Coturnix japonica: one gene and its partners. The protein of the gene in region 4 interacts with the protein of the main gene of each other region in a pairwise test. Links are inferred from orthologs where the notes say so. Each region holds a gene or a part of one and is shown on either strand. Other genes may lie near its edges. The genes, in order: SCYL3, OPRK1, ATG4A, GABARAPL1, TAX1BP1 and RETREG3.

The links.
Region 1: the proteins of GABARAPL1 (region 4) and SCYL3 interact in binary tests that used the Homo sapiens proteins (3 or more experiments, as listed by UniProt). The two-hybrid records come from large-scale screens. The link is inferred for Coturnix japonica from reciprocal best matches to the Homo sapiens genes GABARAPL1 and SCYL3.
Region 2: the proteins of GABARAPL1 (region 4) and OPRK1 interact in binary tests that used the Homo sapiens proteins (3 or more experiments, as listed by UniProt). The link is inferred for Coturnix japonica from reciprocal best matches to the Homo sapiens genes GABARAPL1 and OPRK1.
Region 3: the proteins of GABARAPL1 (region 4) and ATG4A interact in binary tests that used the Homo sapiens proteins (3 or more experiments, as listed by UniProt). The two-hybrid records come from large-scale screens. The link is inferred for Coturnix japonica from reciprocal best matches to the Homo sapiens genes GABARAPL1 and ATG4A.
Region 5: the proteins of GABARAPL1 (region 4) and TAX1BP1 interact in binary tests that used the Homo sapiens proteins (3 or more experiments, as listed by UniProt). The link is inferred for Coturnix japonica from reciprocal best matches to the Homo sapiens genes GABARAPL1 and TAX1BP1.
Region 6: the proteins of GABARAPL1 (region 4) and RETREG3 interact in binary tests that used the Homo sapiens proteins (3 or more experiments, as listed by UniProt). The link is inferred for Coturnix japonica from reciprocal best matches to the Homo sapiens genes GABARAPL1 and RETREG3.

Annotation. Positions count from the first base shown.
Region 1 is NC_029523.1:6,556,586-6,560,085, forward strand, and holds part of SCYL3 (protein-associating with the carboxyl-terminal domain of ezrin), read right to left. Parts: intron 2,145-3,500; coding exon 2,001-2,144; intron 1,929-2,000; coding exon 1,177-1,928; intron 632-1,176; coding exon 569-631; 3' UTR 1-568. UniProt on the Homo sapiens protein: May play a role in regulating cell adhesion/migration complexes in migrating cells.
Region 2 is NC_029517.1:99,618,599-99,622,768, forward strand, and holds the start of OPRK1 (kappa-type opioid receptor), read right to left. Parts: upstream 2,801-4,170; 5' UTR 2,440-2,800; intron 1,953-2,439; 5' UTR 1,886-1,952; coding exon 1,626-1,885; intron 1-1,625. UniProt on the Homo sapiens protein: G-protein coupled opioid receptor that functions as a receptor for endogenous alpha-neoendorphins and dynorphins, but has low affinity for beta-endorphins.
Region 3 is NC_029519.1:13,238,702-13,242,906, forward strand, and holds the start of ATG4A (cysteine protease ATG4A), read right to left. Parts: upstream 2,801-4,205; 5' UTR 2,678-2,800; coding exon 2,668-2,677; intron 2,044-2,667; coding exon 1,933-2,043; intron 1,026-1,932; coding exon 954-1,025; intron 519-953; coding exon 420-518; intron 1-419. UniProt on the Homo sapiens protein: Cysteine protease that plays a key role in autophagy by mediating both proteolytic activation and delipidation of ATG8 family proteins.
Region 4 is NC_029516.1:70,390,293-70,394,453, reverse strand, and holds the start of GABARAPL1 (gamma-aminobutyric acid receptor-associated protein-like 1), read left to right. Parts: upstream 1-1,361; 5' UTR 1,362-1,500; coding exon 1,501-1,590; intron 1,591-4,161. UniProt on the Homo sapiens protein: Ubiquitin-like modifier that increases cell-surface expression of kappa-type opioid receptor through facilitating anterograde intracellular trafficking of the receptor. Involved in formation of autophagosomal vacuoles.
Region 5 is NC_029517.1:30,157,699-30,161,727, forward strand, and holds the start of TAX1BP1 (tax1-binding protein 1), read left to right. Parts: upstream 1-1,229; 5' UTR 1,230-1,344; intron 1,345-2,574; 5' UTR 2,575-2,581; coding exon 2,582-2,758; intron 2,759-4,029.
Region 6 is NC_029542.1:4,589,001-4,592,996, forward strand, and holds the start of RETREG3 (reticulophagy regulator 3), read right to left. Parts: upstream 2,801-3,996; 5' UTR 2,706-2,800; coding exon 2,533-2,705; intron 1,856-2,532; coding exon 1,749-1,855; intron 1,258-1,748; coding exon 1,227-1,257; intron 450-1,226; coding exon 323-449; intron 137-322; coding exon 52-136; intron 1-51. Other genes in the region: TUBG1 (tubulin gamma-1 chain), read left to right, coding at 3,016-3,064, 3,206-3,318, 3,721-3,888. UniProt on the Homo sapiens protein: Endoplasmic reticulum (ER)-anchored autophagy regulator which exists in an inactive state under basal conditions but is activated following cellular stress.

The DNA of each region.
Region 1 (3,500 bases), on a different chromosome or scaffold from region 4:
CAGTCACCGTGCATTTCCTAGCACGTGTTATGCAATCCGTGGAAAGAGTTTTATAAACAGAAATAAATATGTTGTACAGATCCATTTGAAAATCATCGTACAGCTAAAACGTTACAAGGATCCATTTCTAAGGGCTTTCTTTCCAGGTTAAAAAAACAAAAAGCAACAAAAATAACAAGCCCAATAACCAGGTAACTCAGAGTAATTCTTATTTATTGTCAGCAGTTTTTCAGAGCAGAGATGAGTTTTGCTTGCACCACCGCTCAGCCTCCATCAGCGTGTCAGCACCAACGCCCCCATCCTGCTGTTCTCTCTCCAGTAGCAGTGGCACACTCCACAACTGGCCTATTGCTGGAGTGCAGGCCTCACCCGCTGCATGTTTTGGCACAGACTGGAAAGGAGCATCCATTGGAAGGGATGGGGCCCCCTGGGGTGTTGCTGGCTGCTGCAGCAAGTGCCTGCCTTCACAAAAGCAGTGCTGAGGTACTTATCCGTTATATTGTAGGAGCAGCAACTTCTCTTACAGATTCCAACACAGCATAAATCGCCGTTGTCTCTTTCAGTCCCGTTACCAGTTAGCATCATCTTCCCAGTTCAACTCTTCTTCTTCACCCCAGCCTGCAGCTTCAGCCTAGAATCATGTAAAATGAACAACGTTAAGGCACACACGCTGTGCTTCTGTTCTTAATGCAGCTATAGGAGCACAACAGTACCCAGGCCAACTTGTGATGGCACCCTCCTCCTTACCCCTTTGAGGCTTTATATACAGAAAGCCCCTTACAAAACCAAAACCAAAGCACTGGAATTTGCAGCTTTTCATCTTTGAGGACTTCTAACCGTAAAAGGAAACACTTTAAATACACTTTTGCTTTCCTCATAAATTTAAATCAAGCTTTGTTTCTATCAAAACCCCTTTTTATGAAGAACAGGATGCTATAAGATAGACTTCTTTCCCTTGCCTCCTAGGAAGCAACTGTTGTCCTTCTGTATTGTAGCACTCTGACTTTGATCTCACTCTCAGCTACTCCCAGAGCATTGTCTGCACTACTGTAAGTGGATCCCATAAAATTAGGTAGATATCACAGCAGTGCCACAACACTGTATTGTACAATGTGTGTGCCTTAGAATCCTCTCAAATGTGCATTTATTTAAACCCCGCTGTCTATAGACACTTACCTCAATAACATCAACTGCTGCAAATTTGGATGAAAACATCATGTTCTGGGAGGCACCTTCTCTGCTGGACACTGCACCAGAGTGACTGGGAACAACTGAGTGACTGGGAACAACTGCTTCTGTCCTTGCTTCAGGTATAATCAGGAGCGCTGAAGAAGGTTTAATGTCTGGTATCATGTCAGCAAACAAGTCCAGCTCAGGGTCTTGAGCTGGTTTCCTCTTCACTTTAATGGTGAATTCTTCTCCTAGGCCAGACTCCAATGAAGACTTCAATCTTTCCTCTAAGGTCTGTTTGGGCAGCACGGTTTTTCCTAGTTGTCCTTGGTCCCGTTTGTCGTTGTTCCAGCTGTTCTCAGGGGAGGACTTTGTTGAGGGAATCACTTTGAGGCTTTCCAATTCCTTGCTCTGTTGCTGGGTACCTGGTAGAGTTCTCTGCACTTGAGCTGCATCAGCTCGTGTCACAGTGAGGCAGTTTCCTGAGGTCAGCTCAGCATTAGGGCTGCTGGGCTCCAAGTCATCCCAAGGCTTCTCATCTACATCGTGTTCAACAAAATAAGGTCCCATGCTGCCCTGTGGCTTCTGGGGCTGAATTTGGATGTTCACAGTTTTCTCAGTGTCTGTCTCCTCTGGCTCGCTCCAGTCTGGCCACTCCTCTGCTGGCTTTTCAGAGGTAGTTAAAGAGCTCCTGCTGCTCCCAAGCACATTAATGCTCCTAGGAACTCCATTCAGGGGCAGCTGGGTGGCTTGCTCACCTGTGGAGGATAAGGGTGTTATATATCCAGTTCAGAAAGGCAAGACCAGGAAGAGAGGTATCAATGCTTTACCTGTCCTTAGAGCCAGCGGATTGTCTCGTTGCACAGAATGCTTCTTGACAACTGCATTTCCAGAGATAGGGAGCACACTGGAGTTGTTCTTCCAAGGCTGAGAGGTCTGGTGTCTCTGGTTGCTTACAGCACGAGTGGGGGAGTCTGCAGGGATGGAAGAGAGGCCAGTAAGTGTGTTGGCTGAAGCTGCCCATGGCATTGGAGATTTATTTACTGCAGAGATGAGCAATAGCAAAGACTGGCACTGCAGTGCAGAAACTGCACCTCTTGATTTGTACGTATCAATACTACTCTTCCTGCAGCTCTTGCCAGTGCAAAGTAACTGTAAATGGGTCAGTTCTTGCTGCTCTGTTCTTTCAAGATACACAAAGTAAACAGCATGATCTGAAATAGATGCTTCAACTGGATGCAGCCAGATGCATGGCAGCACCAATCTGCTGCTCTGCCTCGTATAAAAGCGCAGCAGTGACAGTCTCAATTCAAAGCATCATGCCACTGCACAAACTGCCCTGTGTGCTTGGGCATGAGTCAAGCAGGAACAAGAGGCTCTATCTCAAAGGCTGCGTTATGACAGCCTCACTTGTATGGTGCACCCAAAAATGAGAGGTGTGGTGGTAGGCAGTTAAAGGCTGGTTCCAGTTCATTGGTGGGAGCATAGTGTCACTGATACACTAGCACTGGATTCAGCTGTGTAAGCCCCTGCTGCCACCCCTTCAACATGGAATAGAAGGGCTTGGGCCACCGCTGCCTCCACCTGACTGTGTGTGATGCCAGGCAAGGCACTGCCTGCACAGCTCACAGCACTGTTAAGGACTGCAACTATAACAAGGACTCTCCCTGGAGAGCCCTCCATGGAGGGTACATCCTTAGACAAACATCTCATTAAGCATCATCTATTCAGCATCAACTACTCCTTACTGTACATTTCCACTCGCTGTTAAGGACAAAGGGTTGGTTCTCAGCTCCTGTCCCAACCCCCATCAACATTTAAATGATTTCAAATATATTCTGAAAAATACATCTGTTCTTAGCACGCAAGATGAAGGTTTTTATTTACTACAGTCTACTACAATCACATAAAAACAAACGCTGCAATGAGCCATCCACAGATTTTAATGAGTGGTAGTTATCAGTACACCCAGGCAGGACAAGAACAGTTACAATGAAAACAAATTGATGTCTATCATGCATTTCTCTTGGTACCTATTAAATCTAAAATAGAGCAAAATGCTGATTCTTCCCTCCAGCTACAGGTTATTCTTAGTTCTACATGCAGAAAAGTTTGCCCTTGGTACACTTGGTTCCAAGTTATTAGCAGGTGTAGGGACTACTTCATTCGTTTGGATTAGGTGAAAAGCCTCCAGAGAGCTGAGAAAATGGGGAAGTCTGTATTTCTTTTCCAATCTACAAACAGAAATTGGGGGGAAGAGGATGAAATTTACTGCTTTTAAAAACATGAAGGACAGAGGAAATATTAAACAGCTACTTGGATCTAAGTAC
Region 2 (4,170 bases), on a different chromosome or scaffold from region 4:
TTCAGAATCTTTAAATGTTCTATATTGAATACAATTAAATTTGTAATGTAATTACAATGTATTTAAGACTAAAGTAGGATCTGGTGGAGAGGGAGTCAAAGCTAGCTAGACCCTCACAAAAATAATCTTGGGAGGGTAATAGAAGAAGATAAAAAGGGAAATATATATGAATCAATATAATCCATCCATGTTGACTTTCAGGGTTCTGGATAAGTTTGAATTTTCTTCCGTTGTCCAGACTGGCAAGTCAGCACTGTACTGTTAAATGATCGATGGCTTAGAAAAATTCTGCATACTTAACATCTGTGTTAAGTATGAAGTCTCTCTTCTTGAAAGCTAAGTGCAAAAATAAATTAAATCTTTACTCTGAATGAAGGGTAAAATAGCTCGATGAGATATAAAAACTACAGCATCACAAAGATGGAGCAAACCGGTTACCCTGCAGTGACCATGGGAATCTTTATTTATTGAACTGACTTTTAAACGAGATTTCACTTTCATTTTTCAAACATATTCACCCAGTTTTAAGACATCTTTTATAAAGCCCATCATCAATAACTTCACTGGTTCCAGTTAACTCCTCCCATACCAAGCCTGACAGAGTTATTTCATCATTCTGCAATTGTTTGACATTTATCATGCTTACTTTGTAAACAAGATCACTTGCAATCCCCCCATTTTTCTTCCTGTGTTCAAGGTGATTTCATTTATTGACCAAATATTCCATTCACCCACCAAAAAAAGCAACACACAAAAAAAACAAATCAAAATCCAGAATATTTTGCAAGATTCATATAGAATATGAAGGAAGAGACTGAAAAGTTTCATGATTTCAATTTCTTTGGTCATTATAACCCTGCTGAGTGCCACTGTCCAGGAATTATTACAAATTACAAATTGAAAGAGGAAAAAGAGAGAGAGAGAATAGTGCAGGCACAAATATATAACAACACACCCATATCGGTGCATTTCACTATGTATTTCAACATGAAAAACTATTTGACATAGATATACAGTTTTCTCCTGTTTCCTGAAACAATAGGAAAAGTAGACCCCTCCCTGTCTCTGCTTTGTTTTCTTCAAGGCGATGCCAACAACTGGAGTTAAACACCACTAAGCAGAGAAACAACATCCCTTGGCTTACATTAAACAGATGTGATTCTTACTGTTTCTTTTTTTCCTACCTCATTAAGAGAACTTCTAGGCAACGAGGCAGCAAAATATCTGTGTTCACAGAGCTGGACACATAAGCCATGGCTCTCACAAGCAGAGAGAAAACAAAATCACAAAAAGAAGGTACCCTGCAGAAGTTTCTTTCTCCCATTTTCTCTCAGTCAAGAGCAGCCTTTCATCCCTAGAGGGCACCCGATCAACGCAGCTCAGGGGCACCAACCACCTTTCTCACAGGCTGCAGGATTCATCACCTTTATCCGGCTTCTCTCTTCTCTCTGCAACTGCACATCCAGGCAGATTCTGTGCCTGAAAATATCTGGGGTCATTCTGGGTACTCTTTTTGTTTTGTTCAACTCCTGATATATACAGATCCAGACAGCTTCCATAAACTCCCCCTGAGCTGTCAAATGTCAGGACAGCCATTTGCATCTCTTTCAAGCAAAGCCTCTTACCTTATGATGACAAACATCACCAGAGAGTTTCCCACCAAGCCAACAACGAAGACCACGGAGTAGACAGCGGTGATGATGATGGGAATGGAGGGGGAGATGCTGGTGTGGTTGTGCTGGGTGTCCTCAAAGTTCCCGGTGGCATTGCTATCATAGTCCACCCAGCCCAGGGTCCAGCTGCTGCTGGTGCTGGATGGCTGACAGGGCCCTGGCACACAGGTGGAGTCCAGCTCATCACGGAAAATCTGTACAGGGGCATCCATAGAGGCCACGGACCCCACAGACAGAAGAGAGACTGGAAGGAGAGTGCAGGCTGCAGGAGGAAGGATGCTGGAAAAGGGAAAGAGAGGGAATGAGACGGAATTGCTATCACAGCGACTGAATATTAAGAGCTGTAAAATTAGTACCTGTTATGGGGAACACTGCTGTGGCAAGAACTGTAGTTTACCAAGCAGGGATTTAAATAAACCACATTCAAAGTAAATGTAAGTTTTACATCTCAGTATGTAATGTGCTTCTCCACCACTGCACAAGGAAAGTTTTCCTCCACTTTCAGAAATTACACAGAGAAACAAATCAGATGGGAAGCAGCTCAGATCCACCCCCACGCTTTAACCCTCTCTCTCCCATCCTCCATCTTTTAAGTCAAACAGCATCCTAGTGACAGGGGCTCCTTGCTCCCTAAATTCCTCTGTAAACAAGGAGGAGAGAAATCTACCACCTCTCTGTATACCTGCTTTGGCATAAACCCTGCCTTATCTTTTTCCAGATCCCATGCCTGCTTCTAAACAAGAGACAAATTAATCACACAAAATACCTCTCAGTCCAGGAGAAGGAGCAGAGTCCTCAGACAGATCTTTGCAGGAAAAAAAAAGCATTCACTTGGCTCCTGGGAGTACCACAGATCTTCTAGGACTTTTGAACCCGAAGCATCTGAGCCCTCAGAGATGCATGCTAACGGCAGAGCTGACTCCTGGGCATGAGCTACGGCACAGTAGCAGCAGCTGCTGCTGTTCCAGCTCCTACCACTTTGCCTTTTCCCTCACAGGCTCTCTCTGCTTCCCTCTCCCCATCAGGGCTCCAGCAGCACGCTGCTCTGATGCATGCGTTCTCCTCTGCCTCTGTCCCTGCAGCTCAGCAGCTCACATGACTTCTGCCTCAGCGCTCAGAGGCAGACAAAATAAAAGAAATAAGTTCTGATGTGAGTGGCTCCTTGGCTTTGTACACTTCTCCAAACCAACTTTTCCTATTGCCCTCACACTCCCAGGCCTTGAGCAACAAACCCCTTTACCTTCCTGAATTCTACGTGCATTTACAGGCTGATAGATGCTGAATAAAACAGAATTTCCCAGTTTATATTTCTTGCCTGACCTGACAGGCTTCCTGCCTCAGCTTCACAACTGTGGATCCCAAATGCTTCTCACTGGGTGGCTGTGCCATTCTTCCTTTATGCCTATAATGTGGGGGAATGCCAGAAGCTGGATCCCACAGCACAGAGAGGCAGAAACATCCAGGAGCAGCCTAATTGCTGTATTTTGTTAATTCAAGCTGTCCCACACTATGAGAAGCCAAGTACATCCTGATGTGCTGCTGGGGTCTGATTACCCCAGACCCTTGCTGTGGTCAGGGATGGAGAGGAGGAGTATGCAGAAATCAAATTCCTCAGCCCTAATCCCTTAAACACTCTATCCTATGGAGCTGGAAACACACTAATCTGTGCTTGAAATCCCAAATCCCAACCAGAGTTCCTTCTAAATGGCAAATTGGAAAAGTGAGCCAGGTCTTTGAGTAAGTGGACTCTCCCTTGGAAGGAGCCCAGGAATGGGCCAGGCAGGCTGTTCCTTAGACAGGACAGCAGGTCTCTGCAGGCAGCTGCAGTGTGTCATGCCCCTCTGGATGTTCTAGGAAGCTCAGATGGTCAGGAAAGGAGTTGTGAATTTCTTTCATCCTTTTGAAACTTTACACTGGGTAAAGCCCATAGGCTGAGGTTTCTATTTTTAAAAACATTTTTTCTTTCTAAACCTATAATCAAGATGAAAAATAATTTCAGCCATAGAGCTGAAAGTCAAAAAGGTGTTTTAAAAGATATAGAATCCCCTTTCTCAGAGGTCAAGGCTCATGCAAGCATGGTGATGACCATGACCGTGCTCACTGGTTCCTTGAGAATGGCAGCATCTGCTCACTGCCATCTGCATGGAGCTGTCTGGAAGTTTTAGGTTGGATGTTAGGGGGAAGTTCTTTACTAGGAGAGTGGTGAGGTCCTGGAACAGGCTGCACAGGGATATTGTGGATGCCCCGTCCTTGGAGGTGTTCAAGGCCAGGTTGGACGAAGCCCTGGGCAACCTGATCTAGTAAACATGGCAAAGTTTGCACGGCTAAGTTTGGTGGCCCTGCCAGGCAGGGGGCTTGGACCTTCATGATCCTTGAGGTCCCTTCCAACCCAGGTCATTCTGTGATTATGTGATTCTGTGAAGACATCAGAAGTACAAGGCAATAAACACGTGACAGTAAATCCCCTGAGCCAAATACATTTTAAAGGTGGAAAACT
Region 3 (4,205 bases), on a different chromosome or scaffold from region 4:
ACTGCAGATTTATTGTGACTGATTGCTGCTGAGCACTGACAGGTTATTTAAAGCCACATGCTCTATTTAGACCTTGTGAGATTTGTTAACATACATCAAATAGCAACACAAGGGCCACACTGGAAAGTCTTCTCACACAGCAAATCTGCAGCAGCTCTGCCATGTCTGCTTCTGCCTCTAATAATAGGGGCGGTATCCTCAGCTCTGGAGAGAAGCAGGATTCCCTGTCTGTTCTATTGCTCTGCTTAAGGCTGCTATGATTCCACCCAGTCAGACAAGCATAAATCATTAGGAACTTTTACCTCAAATAAAGTCTCATTAATAAATTAGGGTTTTGTGCTTTTCCAGAGTACTACACACACACACACAAAGGAATGTGGTCTCCAAATAGTTTAGATTTCACTCAGACCAGTACACACCTCTTCCTAAATGCCTGCAGATCAGCGCTTGCGCCAGCATCATCTGCCCACATCGCAGCATACATCCCCAGCCAGCATCAGACGAGGGGCCAGTGCCTCCTATGAGGAAAGTTCACCACAATTAATATGAGCTTTGAACTGGAGGCAGCACCACAGAGATAACGCCAGAGTGTAAGAGCCCAGTTAGGTCTGCTGGAAACTAACCAGCCTATGGATGCACTGCACTGAGCCAGACTTATTTCCACGCTGTTGGTCTAATCTCTATGCAGCACAAACAAGGTCTGTGCACTCCTTGTGGAGCTGACTTACCCTTCGACAACACTCACAACTACACACAGCTTGCTGTACAAGCACGAGCACCTGATTACGTGCAGCTGTAAGCGCACATCGATTTTAATAACTTTAATATGTTGAATGTGTGAGCCACTTTAACAATGCTCTAAACGTTCTAATAACATAAAAATCACTTTTCAGTCCATGAGGCCATCCCCGCTCCTGCTATTTAACGAGGCCACAGATCCGCAATATACTCACCAATAGGCGAGAACTTCCTTCTGTAGGTAAACCAGAGGCGAGCACTGACATCCAACAATAGCTTAGATTTGTCTGGAATGATTTCAAAAGGAAACAAATAAACTTTTCGAACTGGAAAATTCCAGTTTTTCCTATGCAACCCACACACAGCATCCGCAAAAGACTCCTGTTAGCTTCTACATATCAGATCTTTAGTGCTTAGATGCCTTTTTTAGCCATTGAAACCTAAGAGCTTTTGTAGACTTATAATTAAAGCTGAATTGTTAGGAATGAAATAATTACTAGGCAATGGTTCTAAGAGGCGTTTGGAATGATTCTGTCCAGCCTGAATGAAACACTATGGAGAGAATTACATCCACAGCAAAGAACTGGTAAAGCAAGTTAAGGTGCAGAACTCCTACGTGCTGAACAGCATAGAAGGATGCATCGCTCCCAAACCCCACACGCTGTCATTTCTTGACAATATTAATACCGACTGCCATTAATTCTTTCTCTTCTCTTTTTTTCTTTTAAAAACACGCACTTACAGACATCTCCCACAGGCTCTCACAGATTTATTAAGCTCTTACCTGCTGCTTTCTCCCTGAGTTCCACTCAGATCCAGTGGCCTTAAGGGGGGTTTAAGTGGCCTTAAGGGATGGCTCAGCCCATTGGGGCCGAGTACGGGACCCTGGGGAGTCCTGACACCACGGCTGCACTGATGGCCGCTACCTCTGCCAGGTAACACAGGGTTATGCCCTTGTGCCCTCCACAGGGAGCAGAACTCAGTGCTGATATGTTTGTATCACACAGAAGTGCTGAGGCTATCGGGCAATGCTGCTTCTCACCAGAACACAGCACACACCTCAGATTATTGCTTCTTACTGTGACAGTGACTTTGAAATCTCCCTTTATTTGACAGCCAGATACACGAGGGAATCGGGAGCCGCTGCTGCCGCACTCAGTGCGTGTTAGAGCCGAGTTATCGCGTTACAGATACCTTCGTTCAGGTGGTGCTGCCTTCCCAGGATCCACACCGGCTCATCGGTGTCGGGGAATTCCTCTAAGTATTCGGCCAGGATCGTGATCTGGTTTTCATACCTGGACAGAACTGAACGCAACACGGCAGCGCCCACTCACTCCCTCGGTATCTCGACATGGCTGCCGCGGCACGGCCCGGCGGAGGGAGGGGACGATCCGCCTACGTCATTTGCTAACGGTAATTAATACCGAGCCGAGAAGGAAGCCCGAGCGCTGCAGGGGGTTGTTTTGTTTCGGTTTTTGCTTTCTTTGATAATTAAAGCGAGGTTTGTGGGAATAGTGGCAATGCCCGTCGGTTGTGATCTCACAGATGGCAACCTGACCAAATGCCAATGTATGAAGCCAAAGCAAAGCCCACCCTGCGCTGCTCTTCATATAGGAACGGGTGACACCGCCGGCACCGAGTCAGATGGGCACGGCGCAGCCGTCACATCCCGCCCCGTCACACTCGTCCCGCACGGAGCCGAACGGCAGCTCCGGATCCGCCGATCCCTCACGGCCCGGCGCTTCCCGGTGCCCGTGCCCCGTCCCGGCCCTTAGGCCCCGAGCTGCGGCCCCGCGGTCCCGCCCCGATCGCTGAGGCGCGGCCCCGGCTCCGAGTCCGGCGGGTTTTTACGTGGCCGATCGGGCCGGGCCCGTCCCGCGCTGCCGGCGCCCGTCCCGCCGCTGCCCTCAGCCCCATCCCGCCGCTCACCTGACTCCATCCTCCCGCCGTCACCATCCTCCTCCTCGGCCCGACGCGGACGCCCGGCAGGGAGGCGGCGCGGGGCGCTCCGGGAGACGTAGTTCCGTCTCCGGGCGGCGGCGCGGCGAGTCCAGTCGGGCGGACTACAAATCCCGGCACCCCCCGCGGCCCACAGTCGGCCCACAGTCGGCCCACGGGCGCGATTGGTCGGCTGGAGGCGGCGTCCCGGGGCGCGGGGCGGGCAGTGGCCGTGTTGGCGGCCGAGATGGAGGGTTCCGTGTCCAACGTGGAGGTGTGCAACATGGCCTACGCCGGGCGCCTGGACGAGCTGCGCGCTCAGCTGCTGCGCGACCGGGCCCTGGCCACCGCCACAGACCAGGTCAGGAGGCCGAACCCGCCGCGGCGGGAGCGGGGCCCGTCAGGGCAACCAAACGGCCCGGGGCCCGCTGACCGGCGCTGTCTCCCCTCAGGATCGCCGCACCGCGCTGCACTGGGCCTGTTCGGCGGGACACACGGCGGTGGCGGATCTACTGCTGGGGCTCGGCGTGCCCGTCGGAGACAAGGACGACGTGAGTGGGGCGGCGGGAGCTCTCGGGGCCGCTCTCCCTCAGTAACGGGCCCGAGGTTGAAAGGATGGTTCTGTAGGGGCTGAGGAGAGCGACTGCCCGGGACTCGGTGCCTGGCCGGGCTGCCGCTGTGGGTCTTCGGGTCGTCTCTGCCCTGTGTGACCCTGTGCCAAGCCGTGAGGAGCGCTGAGGGTTTCCCGCCCCTGAGGTATAATGGCAGAGTAGGCCCCGTGTGCGCTGATCTCACACTCGCCATCAGATCCCTTCTGTCCTGCAGGGAAAGCTGAAATAATTGCATCCGTTATGAATGAATTATCCTAAAGTTTGCGCTTGTGACTTGTCTGTGCTGATAGTAGTGTTAAGCACTACAGCTGTAATGCTGTCTGCAATATGATTAGGGAGTGGGGTGACCTCATTGCAGCCTTTCAATACCTGAAGGGAACTTACTCCCAGGAGGGGAGTAAACTCTTGGAAAGGGCTGACAATAGCAGGACTAAGGGAAATGGTTTTAAGTTAAAAGAGGGAAGATTTAGGTTGGATGTTAGGGAAAGTTCTTCACTAGGAGAGTGTTTAGGTCCTGGAACAGGCTGCCCAGGGAGGTTGTGGATGCCCCGTCCTTGGAGGTGTTCAAGACCAGGTTGGACGGGCCCCTGGGCAACCTGATCTAGTAAAGGTGTATGTTTGGTGGCCCTGCCAGGCAGGGGGGTTGAAACTACATGATCCTTGAGGTCCTTTCCAACCCGGGTCATTCTGTGATTCTGTGAGCAGTCTGCTCTGCACTGGGGTTGTTTTCTCGGTTGACGTCTTTGCTTTAATAACTTCTGTGCTCGCCTCCACAGGCTGGTTGGACTCCCTTGCACATCGCTGCGTCAGCGGGCCGTGATGAGATCGTCAAGGCCCTCATTGACAAGGGGGCTCCCATCAATGCTGTCAATCAGAATGGCTGCACGCCCCTGCACTACGCGGCCTCCAAAAATAAGC
Region 4 (4,161 bases):
CATATCTGCTTCTAAGTGAATATACTTCCTCCATATCTCTCCTTCATGCATGATGAGAGATCACAGTCACCACGGCTTGGAGAGAGCATTACCTCTGAATTCAAGAAGCAGTGGGCTATAGAGTGTAAAGGTGGGTGGTGGGCAATATATGATAAACAGCTCTCTCCAGGGCAGAGAGCACAAACTAGCACCCTAAATCTGCTGTGGGGATTTGCAGTAGGTCCTTCCCAGTGTTGGGATAACTCCTTCCCTTCAGGCAAGACTTATGTGTATAAGCATATAGGGATAAAGAAACCATTAATGTCTGAAGTACGAATTTCTTGGAGCAGTCTAAAAGATGTGTATGAGTATTTCTAGAAAAGGACCAGGGCTTCTTCCTGATCCTGTTCTCCTGATATTATTTTTATTACTTACTATTTTGTCACGATGCCCTTACAGAGCATTGCAATGGAGCATCCATCTTTCGTCTTCCACCATAAGTGCTTCCAAGATTACATGATTCCCCATCCATTATATTTCCACAGATAGTACATACTCATCAATTATACTTGAGACAACTAACTTACACACACTTAACACAGGTAGAGATGGATGAGATTTCCAGTCTTCTATTCCATGGTCTCTTCTACTGTCTAGTGTCCTTTTAGCATCATGGCAGTCCAATTGACAGTCTTTTACTTCATCCAGTGGTCTTCCTCACTTGTCCTCTAGATGAACTTTCTTCACTGATGCATGCTCGATAACGCATATTGTAAGTAATTTATAGGTACTAAAATTGTAACATTTGCTCACTCAGCACTTGGCCATTATTTCTGGACATCTGCTCATCCTTGGATAGAGATAAGTTTGGCAACCTGTCTTTTAGTGATATATACCGGGGTGTTAACTTCTTTTTAATAATATATACTGGGTTGTAGAAGGATAGAGGGGAAATCCTTGACACCTAGAGAAGGAGACAATTTGGCCTCATGTGGAGGTCTCAGCTTTCATTATTGCGTTTCTTTTGCTGAGGGTCTCTTGTCAAAACAGAACAGCTTTACAACACGTTTTCCAGTCCGTAATACTACACGCACACTATATCAATCACAACCACGTACAGAAGAGACTCATTGGACGGGGACACCTCTGACGGTGGTGCGTGGGTAACCCCTGAGTCACGCACATTATTTTGGTGGCTGTGTTTTTGTGGATTTTTTGATCTTTCTTTTAGAATTGTTACCATTAGGTAACCCGAAAAGCACAGTAACCGAATGTAAACACAAAGACCCAGCACATCCCCCCCCCACACACACACACACGAGACAGTGCCCCCACCCCGCTGCAATGCCGACAGTGCCGGAAGGGGAGGGTATGTCGCTGTGACGTCCCGCAACAGCACAGTGCGGGGCTGCGCTGCGCTGCGCTGGGTTTGCGTGCGCTGCGCGGGCGTAGTAGGGTTTGCTGAGTGCCCGGTCATAGGTGACGGAGGGACGGTAGTGGCCGGCTCGGTTGTGTCGCATCATGAAGTTCCAGTACAAGGAAGACCACCCGTTCGAGTACAGGAAAAAAGAAGGGGAGAAAATCAGGAAGAAATACCCCGACAGAGTCCCTGTGAGTGTGCTGGACGAGCGCTGCCCTCGGGCTGGCTGTGCAAATGTCGCCATTCTTTGCTGTCCTTGTCGTTGCCGTCTGCTGCTTTGCTTCTTTTGCAAGGAACGGGATTGGGAAAGATGACTTTGGCGTGTCGGTATTAATTCCGGATTGCTTTCTCTTTAGTGCCACCGTATTTGTTGTTCTACGCCAAGGTCCGTGGGTGGGTGTGGGGGTCTTTTTCGGGCATCCGCAGTAATTCGACAGCAAGAACGCTGTTAATCTTATTATGGCAGCCTATGCGTGTGGGGCTGGAGGGTGGGGAAGGAGCTTACGACTTGCTCTGGGAAAATGGAGGAGAACAATGAATGTGTGAAACAGGCGTTCTCTGTAAGGAAAAAAAAAAAGGCCTAAATCGCTGTTATCAGATGTTTTGTTTTTATTTTATACCTTTTTCTTTTTGGAGCTTGCTTTTCAGTGTAGTCCAGCTCCGTTCTTTTCAGCTTTGTGTTTTGCATGAGAGTTAAAAAGAGATGGATGCTCAATAATAATTCCCAGTCTTACTTCCCTACTCTTTAATCACCCAAAAAGCATCATTTGGAAAACAAGATCATTTTCGAGCTGAACTTTCCTTTCTTGTCCTTAGGACTGTCTGGAATCTCAGTGGAAAACTCCTGGCTTTATAATTTGTGGCAATAATTGCAAAAAGAAATAGTAACACTAGGGTTTATTTTGTTTGTTTTGTAACACTGGAGAGTTCTGTCCTAGATTGGGGTGACCAGAGGTGCAGTGTGCAAAAGAACTGTTTCACCTGAGCTTTTCCCTGTAGGATGAGAGTAATTGAGCATGCAGTGTATGCAGGTCTGTCTTTTGAGATGACGGCCACAGCAGGCTCAGCTGGTCAGGAGAGTGGCAGGTAATGCAGCAGGTCATGATAGAAGTGACTGGAAGAACTATGTGGAGAGCCCAGCAACAGACCTGGTCTGGCAAGGAGTAAAAATGCCAAGACAGAGGGGCTTTAGTAGAGTGTAATGGACAAAAACAGGATCAAACTAAGTGAGCTGTGCTGCAGCTAAGGGGAAGTGAAAACACTGCTTGGAGAGGCCTGGTGTGGATTGCTGGGGAAGGCTTGTTGTCAGAGCTGCACAGAGTGCAACAGACGTATTTAATCACTTCTGTCACTGCCCTTCACGACAGTAGGATCCTTGACAGCAATGTCCCATTGGCTGCTGGCACTTCACTGTTGTGATATGTCTGCATTTTGCTGAAATTATAATGCTGGCCCAGTCCATTGTTACCACAGTCACCCAGCAGCAACAGACATCAAGATAATATATCTGCCCTTTGGATTGTCTTTGTAAGTTTGTCTCTCTGTGCAAAGTAACCTTTAGAAGAGATACCTTGCCTGGGTTATCAGGGAAACTTACTACAGTTGATTATCTAGGAAAACACCTCCATTTTTCCCTCTTTGCAAGAGGGAGATCTGTCTCAAACTTGATTATTTAATTTGAATCCTTTCTAGGGGTTTAGAATCCTCAGAGCTCACCTTGTCCTCATAAATCAAGGTACCCCCTATCTTCTTTTCCTTTATCTAATGACTAAGCTACATGCCATCCTTTTGAGTCAGCTTGGTCCTGTCACTGTTGCTACCTGACAGTTCTGCTTACCAATCTTCTAAATTGAAAGCAAAAACTAAAGGCTTTTTTTCTACTTCAGTTTATTTGATGCTACCATGTAGCGTTTCAGGGTAAGAAAATAGGCAAAGTACTGTTGCTGGTCAGTCTGAAGCTGTGTAGTGAGGTTGTGCAACTACCTTTCCTTCACAACACTTGTCAATTTTATCTTGTATGGAAATGTATGTCCTAACACAAACTTAGTGTGAAAGAGCTCAGTTGCCTAGTAGTTGAGGTTCTTGAACTAGCAAACTACGTTTGTGTTTTAGGAAGAAACCTAGAATTTTCAGGGCTTTTGGCTGCATTGGAGGCATCTAAATGGAGAAGAGTATACAGGTATCCAAGCCAGCATCTCTACTGTGTGACATGCTTTGTGGATACTTGAATCTGGAACGAGGAGTGTTTGGTTGGAAAAAGTGCCATGCCAAGTTAATACACAAAGCTTATCATGTCTTTTTCCTTTGGTGTACTGTTTCATTGATGTGACAACACCATTTTCCTTCCAAAGAAGGAAGGAAACACGAAGCACAACAGTCCAGCCTTTACTATTGCACAGCTGACACAGCTGCTGATTTTGGCTTCCCAGGGAGGTGGTTGAATCGCCATCCCTGGATGTGTTTAAGAGCCGTTTGGATGTGGTACTCAGGGATATGATTTAGCAGAGGGTTGTTAGAGTTAGGGTACTATGGTTAGGCTGCGGTTGGATGTGATGATCTTCAGGGTCTTTTCCAACCTGAGCAATTCTATGATTCTTAGAAATTAGTCTCACAGTGTCTCAGGGAAGGTCAAAATGGTTTCTGAAGAACAGTAAGCCACATAGATTGAATCATGTAATATATCTCTCTACTTGATCAAAAATACATACCAGGAAAAAAAACAAACCTACCAGTGGCTGCATTTTCTTTCCACATGCACACAG
Region 5 (4,029 bases), on a different chromosome or scaffold from region 4:
AGAACATCTTAATTTCAGAACTCCCAGTACATTCCATAAAGTAACAACATAATGAGAGTCAGTGAAAACAAAACTACTCGTCTCATCACTGTTTATACTTCCCAGATACTGGCTGTGAAACTGAAGTTCTTTCAGAGTCAGAGCCCATAGCAGAACAGTGTCTTGTGACTCTTAGACAACCCTTTATCACATCATGTGGTGCAAAGAGCAGTGAGAAGAAGAAATGGAGGTTATAGATAAGACAGAATAGCTCTCCCCACCTCCTCAGAAATATGTATGGCTGGTTATTGCACCAATTTTGTTTACCACTGCACAAATTCCTTTGGTCTTAAGGAAAAAAAAGCCTTGTACACATACTTCTTGTGTCTTCTACCTGAAAGGAGGTTGTAGCAAGATGAGAATTGGCTTCTCCCAGGTTACTAGTGATGAGAGGTAGAGGCTTTAAGTTGTGCCAGGAGGTATTCAGGTCGGATGTTAAGAAAAATACTTTGTCAGAAAGAGTGAAGCAGGCTGCCCAGTGGTGTTGGTGGTGTTCAAGGGTAGCTGTTGTCCTGAGGGACATGGTGGGGATGGGCTGGTGGTTGAATTGATGATCTAAGTGCTTTTTCCCAACCTTAATGACTTCATGATTCTAAAACAATGTATTGCTTTCCAATGGAACATATGAATAACTTAAGGAATTACTAGTTATGTCCAGAAATAAAAAAGATTACTTAATAACCTGTTTTACAGGTTACACGTGAAGACGTGAAGTTGTTTTCAGACAACCATTCATGACTGAAGAGTTTCTGTGCTCCGGCTTAGTTTCATTAGGGGTGACTATTACAAAGCTGGCAATCTTGCCAGATACTCAAATCAATAATGTGGTCATTGTGCCTGTCTGTTGAGAATGGAAATAGTGATGAAACAGCGGCGGTAAAGAGGTAAAGGTGATTTCAAAGACTATTTGAGGTAGTGGTCGTGTTGGGTGTACTGGGAGAAGTCCGACACACCAATGGTGGTTACTCATCACTGAATTCTGTTCCTCATCTCTGCTGTTCTGTAAGAGCTACAGCTTGGCGCTGGACAGAGCTCCAGTAGAATCTGTGTATTTATGAGGTAACATACTTTGCCAATTCACGCAAGCAGGAGAACTGTGAGCTTTAATCTCACTCCTTGGTGGCTCAGAGACAGGCACAGGCCCGAAGCTTTAAATCCGCAGCTTGTGAGACGCAAACTGGTGTGACGCGAGCACAAACGAGCGGGCAGGGCCGGGGCTGGAAGTGACGCGGGCGGGCGGGGCTGCGTGGCGCTGATGGTGGAGGCCCCATGTTGATGTCCGCGGCGTCCTCCGCGCCTGCATAGGTAAGGGGCGCTGCGGGGTGCAGCTGAGGGGGGTGGGCGGGTTGGCAGCCCCTTCCCCGCCGGTCCTCGCCACCCGTTGGGGCGGGCAGGGATGTGAGGCGGCGGGCGGCGGCGCTGCGCCACCGGGAGGCCCCCCCCCGCCTGTACGGGGATCAGCTGGTCGGGGCGGCCTGTGTAGGCCTGGATCTGGGCTGCAAAGCAGAGCAGTCTGCAGAAGTCGCTTTTTTTTCTTTTAGCACATTCTTAGAATAAACTTCCTAATTTTTTGAGGAAATCTATTTTAAAAAAATTATATTCCAGTGTTTTTTTTTTTTTTTCTTACCAAGGTGATGAAAATTGACGTGGTTTGTTTCCTTTCAGTGTTGCTTAGCTTCATATAGTAAGGCTGTTCTGTTTCTTTTAGGTTAGCAGAAACTGCAGCTTTGTACTTGTTAATAATTCAGAGAGATGGACCCTTATGTTTTGCTTTTGAAGCATTTTGTGGTGCTGTAATTTTTAGCACGGTGTATTTGGAATGAGGTGGTGAAGGGAAATGGTGACGGGAAGCTTTTGCAATCCAACCGAATTAGTGCTAATCCATCCAACTGCATGCAGACTTGAATGTCTGCGCCATCAGTTCAGTTGTTATTAGTAAAAGTGCAAGACTAAGGGTATCTGTGTTTAAAGTGGGGACAGCAAATGTGCTTCCAGTCTGCTGACATCAGAAGAGAGGAGAAATAAAATAAGGAAAAAAAAAAGCCTGTTTAGATAAACTTTCTCCTTTGTTAAAATGTCTTAAAATGAAGCTTTCTTAGTTTTACTGAGTGGGGAACAACATTTTATTTATGGAAATACTGTCAAAAGCATTCAGAAGTACGGATTTCCCTGAAGCATCCAGAGTCACTAAAGACATTTAATTAAGTCATAGCTAACCCTAACCCTGCCTCATTTTCCCACCACTTTTATTTCCTTCTTTCTGGTACTCAGTTTATCTGTGTTATAGCAGTAGGGGCATTCAGTTAAGTGGTGCTTTCTCTCTGTTTTCATTTCATCACTGAGATGACTGCCTTTTTTTTTTGTTCTGAGAAGTGATTGTTTTGGAGCATTGCGTTTTGATGGGCTCGGTCTGTAGCTGGTCTGTTGTCAGACCAGAGGAGTGAATTGTTTCTCTGTCTGGTATCTTTTGAACAGGTTATTTTTAACTTAGTTCTTCATGATATTGAAGTAACAGCTTCTCCAATTTTGTTGCAGATCAAACATGTCATCCTTTCAAGAAGTCCCATCTTCAGCTAACGCTTTACAGACATCCAATTTTGCACACGTGATTTTTCAGAATGTGGCAAAAAGTTATCTGCCGAACACACACCTTGAATGTCACTACACTCTGACCCAGTTTATCCATCCTCATCAGAAAGACTGGGTTGGTATTTTCAAGGTAAGTAAAACTTAATCTATTCGTGTTTTTCACTTGTTCACTGTCTTCTCTTAACCAGTTTCTAATAGAGAAATCGAAAAATAATACTTTTATAAATGTTAGAGGAAGCATCACAGTGTGACGTCAGAGTCTGAGCTTTTAACGGAGATGAGGCTGGAGTGATAAGTACAAATGTGCTGGAGTAAAGGGAAGCCATGATGTGGTAGAGAATTAAATGGAGATGATTTGAGAGGAGGATTTTTAATAATATATTCAGTGACTACAGTCAGTGAATTGTGAGAGGGTGACATTAGCTACAAGCAGGGCGATTTCTCTGGTAGGAACTGGTTAAAAATACATCCATGTATTTTGATGACCTGATGTGTTTTGACAAACAGGAGTGTGACTGAGCGTGCTTGATGTTTAGTTAACAGGGCGAAGGAATGGAAGAAAAGTCAGAAGTTTAAAGAGAGTGCTGTTCAGGTTACACAAGCATTTTGGTATTATTTACGTGTATCCTGAGAAATGAATGTTGTGGTTCTGTGTGTATCAATCTAAGTAAGGGAGGCAATTAGGTTCCTAAAAATACAGATTAGATTTTTTTTGAGCACAGCAGAAAATACAAAATGTTTTTTTCAGTGACTGCATGTAACGCTATGTCCAATGTACAGATATGCTTCATTTCACTGTGTATGATGATAATTTCATAAGCTATTGAGGTATGAGGTTTTTATTCTACTTCGACAGTTGCAGGCAATACAGCTTTAGCAATTGTTTGGGAAACACTTTGAGCTGACGGAAGGTAACACGGCTGTAACATATCTTCCCTTTCTTTTACTTATTTCTTTTCTTCCTCCCCTTTATGTGAAATAGGCACTTGTGTGATGAACAAAGTCTGGGAATCGATTTCAGGTTCAGACCAGCATTTTGGGAGTAAATTATTTTTAGTGGGGAATTCCACAGCTGAATTTCTAGTCCATCTCATTCTCATCACTACGAAGGAAGGAAATGTTGCAAGATGGGGAAAAGGGTGAAAATTGTTTTCTGTTTGTTACTACGTGTTATGAATATACTGTCTTTATATAGTTATAGTGCAGTGAGGTAAATGAAGCCAGCTGTCCTACTACATCTGTGCTTATCAGTGTATATGTGTGTGAGTAATGCTTACAGTGAACAGTTTGTACCTTACTACATCTTCACAAAGACATTTTTTCCCGTGAACATTGTGGCATTGATAGTTCTAATGTGTACTACTGTTCTGTTCTAGGGATCAATGGCTTCGGCTGTATTCC
Region 6 (3,996 bases), on a different chromosome or scaffold from region 4:
TATCTCTACCCCTCTTCATTTTAAGATTTGGCACAGGGTTCTTCTACTTACAGAGCAAGTATGAGAGCAGGAGTCCAGGGATATACCGGCCCAGAACAGCCAGGAATGTAAAGACTCCACATACTAGAAGGCAAAACTGAACACATGGGAGACAGTGAGTTTCCAAAGTTAAGTGATGGAATCACTCACTTCTTTATCATCTTGCTCTCTGAAGATTTCTAGGTAAAGTTCTAACTCTTAACAAAGCAAAGCCTTCCTAGCATTCAACCATCACAAAGGGATGCCAGCAGTCAGTAATTTACTAAAGTTTACCAGTTCTCACCTTGCCAGGGCTTTCCCTCTTGAAAACAAAGAGATTACTTAAGAAGTTGGTCCAAGACACCCATCCTTCAGCCAAATGGTGACACAGTTCTGGCACTCCAAGCAGCCGAGGGTGGACATATCCCCAGCTGCAGGAAAGGTAAAAATTCAGAAACAAGGTTTTAAGTAAGCCTTGTGCCTTACTTAAATGTGTCTGATTACTTCAGAGGCACTATCTTCATTAAGTTCTACTGGTGTTTCTTAACTGCTAGTCACAAGTACATGAAACTTAGGAATAGCAATTCCTTTTGTATTTGGGCTTCTTACAAATACAAACAACAACCACCCAACAAGGAAGTCATGTGGCAACAGCTCAAGTGATTTAAGCAGGTGTTGAGCATCCAGTGTGGCTCAGCAGCATAAGCAGGCAGAAGGGTGTGCCCAGAGATAGGAAGGTGTTATTAGTAAGAGAACACCCACTATTAATACTGCAGTCAGACCATAACTATGCACTAACAATCCCTGGGACGTGACTCTTTAGACATTCCACACCTGGGCTCAGAAGATGCATTTATTGGTACAAAAAGTTGTTTTCCTGCTACTGGAGACCCATACAAAAGGAACTGTTTTTAAGACAGCACCTCTAACTTAGGGGTGGAAGGGAATAGAGCAGCAGAGATTTTACAGTGCTCAAGCAAGCATTACTGTATGCCAATGTAAAGGCAAAGAGTAATGGTTTGTGCAAGTAAAAAACCTGTCACAGCAGAATGACAAAGTTCAGGGCTCCATTCTCCCTCCACTAAGCAGTTTCCTTCTCTCCTTTCATTCCCCTCTTAAAGAAGCCAACGTTACAAGCACGTGCAGACAATTATTACACAGTATCATGGCAAAGTACCAAATAGCAGAGAATTCAATTAGTTTCCTACCTCTCATTGTCTAATTCGTCAGGTCTTGCCACTAAAATATTAAGAACAGACACTATGTTAGTTGCAAGGAATTTGCTATAAGAAAGCTCAGCTTTGGGGATTCAAGTAAAGTTTTAATTAGCTGGGAGACACCTGAAAAAAGACATTAACTGTTACAGAACATACGACTCGCTCTATAACACGTTTTAAACATGTACATGTTACAGTACAAGATTGCAAGAGAGCCTCCTTGTTGCCTCCTATGACGTTCTACAAACAAACACTACAGTCAAGGAGACTTCCTCATTATGCATTAAGAGACTGCAAGTTTCTACCAAATAAAACACAAGGGAGAACTCAGAACATTATGAGGCAAACGCCAGCACCACAAGTGTGAGAAACTCCTATTATTTGTATGGGTCAGGATCTTGTGCGTGCTTCTAGTCTTGGATTCTGCTGAGCACCAAATGCTGCACACTCTGCACCTCCTGATCTGAAGATAATGCTTCATTTTCTGATAATAACTTAAACGTTGCAACTTACCTCCAATTTCAGGCCAAATTTTGCTCTTCCACTGATCTAGACAAACTACTACTATAAGAGTAAATGCAACCAGGCACACCAATCGAAGAGAAGTCAGAGCAAAGAACCTATGGCAAAGAAACGAACAAATACGTGACCAGCAGGATCTGTGACATGCGAAGGGGACATCACGAACCCGCTGCAAAACGTGCCAACAGCTACAGATAGAGAAAAGCAGCGGCTGCTTATCAGCTGCCCACGGCCCTGGAGAGGAGCTTATCTCCCGGCGCTGTGCACACTCCTCATTTGCAGCAGGGCTGGAATTCGCGGCCTGCAGGTCACCCTGTGCCCTGGTCCCACCGCCCAGTTCTGGTTTCGCTGATCAATGTTGTGCTGTAGGACCAGGTGCTCAATACACTCAGAGGGATGAAGCTCGGGCAGCTGCGGCGCTTCCAGGCTCCCGCCGTGAGCTGCCGCACAACCGGATGTTACCGGCCCGTACCCCAACCCACGAGCCGTCCCGGCCACGGGAGCTGCGGGACCGGCGCTCAAAGCTCCGCGCCGGGAGGTCGCACTCCCCGACCCGAGAGGCGGCCGAGCGCCCCGCGCGCAGCCCGTAACGGCCGGAGCTGCCGGCACCGCCCCGAGCAGCGCAGCGACGGCCCGGCACGAACCGACGGGCGGGAGGCCCAGGAGCCGGCCGGGACCGAGGCGGCGCAGCGCGACCAGCGCAACCAGCGCAGGCCCCGCAGCCCCCGCAGCCCCGCAGCCACCGGCGGCCCCGCAGCCACGTCCCGGCGCTCACCAGAACAGCCCGTGAGCCGCCGCCCAGCACAGCGCGCTGCGGCCCGGCCGCTCCCACAGCAGCGCGGCCTGCACGGCGCTCAGCAGCCGCTCGTACGGCCCCAGGCGGCCCCGCAGCGCCGCGCTCAGCTCCCGCACCCGCCGCTGCCGCTCGCCGGGCCGCGCCGCCGCCATGGCTCCTCGCCGGCATCAACATCCGGTCTCCGCCGACATGGCGGCCCCCAGCGCCGGAAGCGGGACGGCTCCGGGCGCCGCCATCTTGGCCGAAGCGTCGTCCCCGCCGGCCGCGACCGCGCACGCGCGTTTCCAGGGCGCCGCGACGGGACGGCGGAAGCGGGAGCGGAAGTGCGGCGCGCGCATGCGCAGAGCGGTTGGCGCCGAGCGGGAGACGGCGGCGGAGCGCACGGAGCGGGACTGAACGGAACGGAACGGAACGGAACGGGACGGGACGGGACAACGGGACGGGACAACGGGACGGGACGGGATGCCGCGGGAGATCATCACCTTACAGCTCGGCCAGTGCGGCAACCAGAGTGAGCGGCACACACAGCCGGGCGGGGCCGGGATGATGGGCGGGACGGGGCGGGGACCGGAGGGGGGGGGCGGTCATTGACCGGATGGGGGGGGCTCATTGAGCGGATTTTGGGGGGGCTCATTGACCGCCGTCCCCGCAGTTGGGTTCGAGTTCTGGAAGCAGCTCTGTGCCGAGCACGGCATCAGCCCCGAGGGCATCGTGGAGGAGTTCGCCACCGAGGGCACCGACCGCAAGGACGTGTTCTTCTACCAGGTACCGGTTACGTGTTCTTCTACCAGGTACCGGTTACGTGTTCTTCTACCAGGTACCGGTTACGTGTTCTTCTACCAGNTACCAGGTACCGGTTACGTGTTCTTCTACCAGGTACCGGTTACGTGTTCTTCTACCAGGTACCGGTTACGTGTTCTTCTACCAGGTACCGGTTACATGTTCTTCTACCAGGTACCGCCGCTCCCGGTTCTTTCACACCGCTCGTACCGGGGCCGGCCGCGCTGCCGCAGCCCCGCACTCGGGTGCTCCAGGGTCGCTCCTCCCTCGCTCTGCATCGTGCTCGTGGTGGCCGGGAGGTGGCACAGTGCAGGACATGGCACAGTGCAGGACGTGGCCCTTGCGAGGAGCTGTGCTGCAGCCTGACCCGACTGCTGCTCCTTGCAGGCAGATGATGAGCACTACATCCCGCGAGCTGTGCTGCTGGACCTGGAGCCCCGAGTCATCCACTCCATCCTGAACTCCCCTTATGCCAACCTCTACAACCCAGAGAACATCTATCTGTCTGAGCATGGAGGTGGAGCTGGGAACAACTGGGCAAGCGGCTTCTCACAGGTAACAGGCCCTGGTGCTCCTATACATGAACACAGAGCAGTTACCGAGGCTTTACTGTGGCCTTTCTCAGGCTCAGGATGCACTTGGCAGAATTCTGAGTCATTCAGC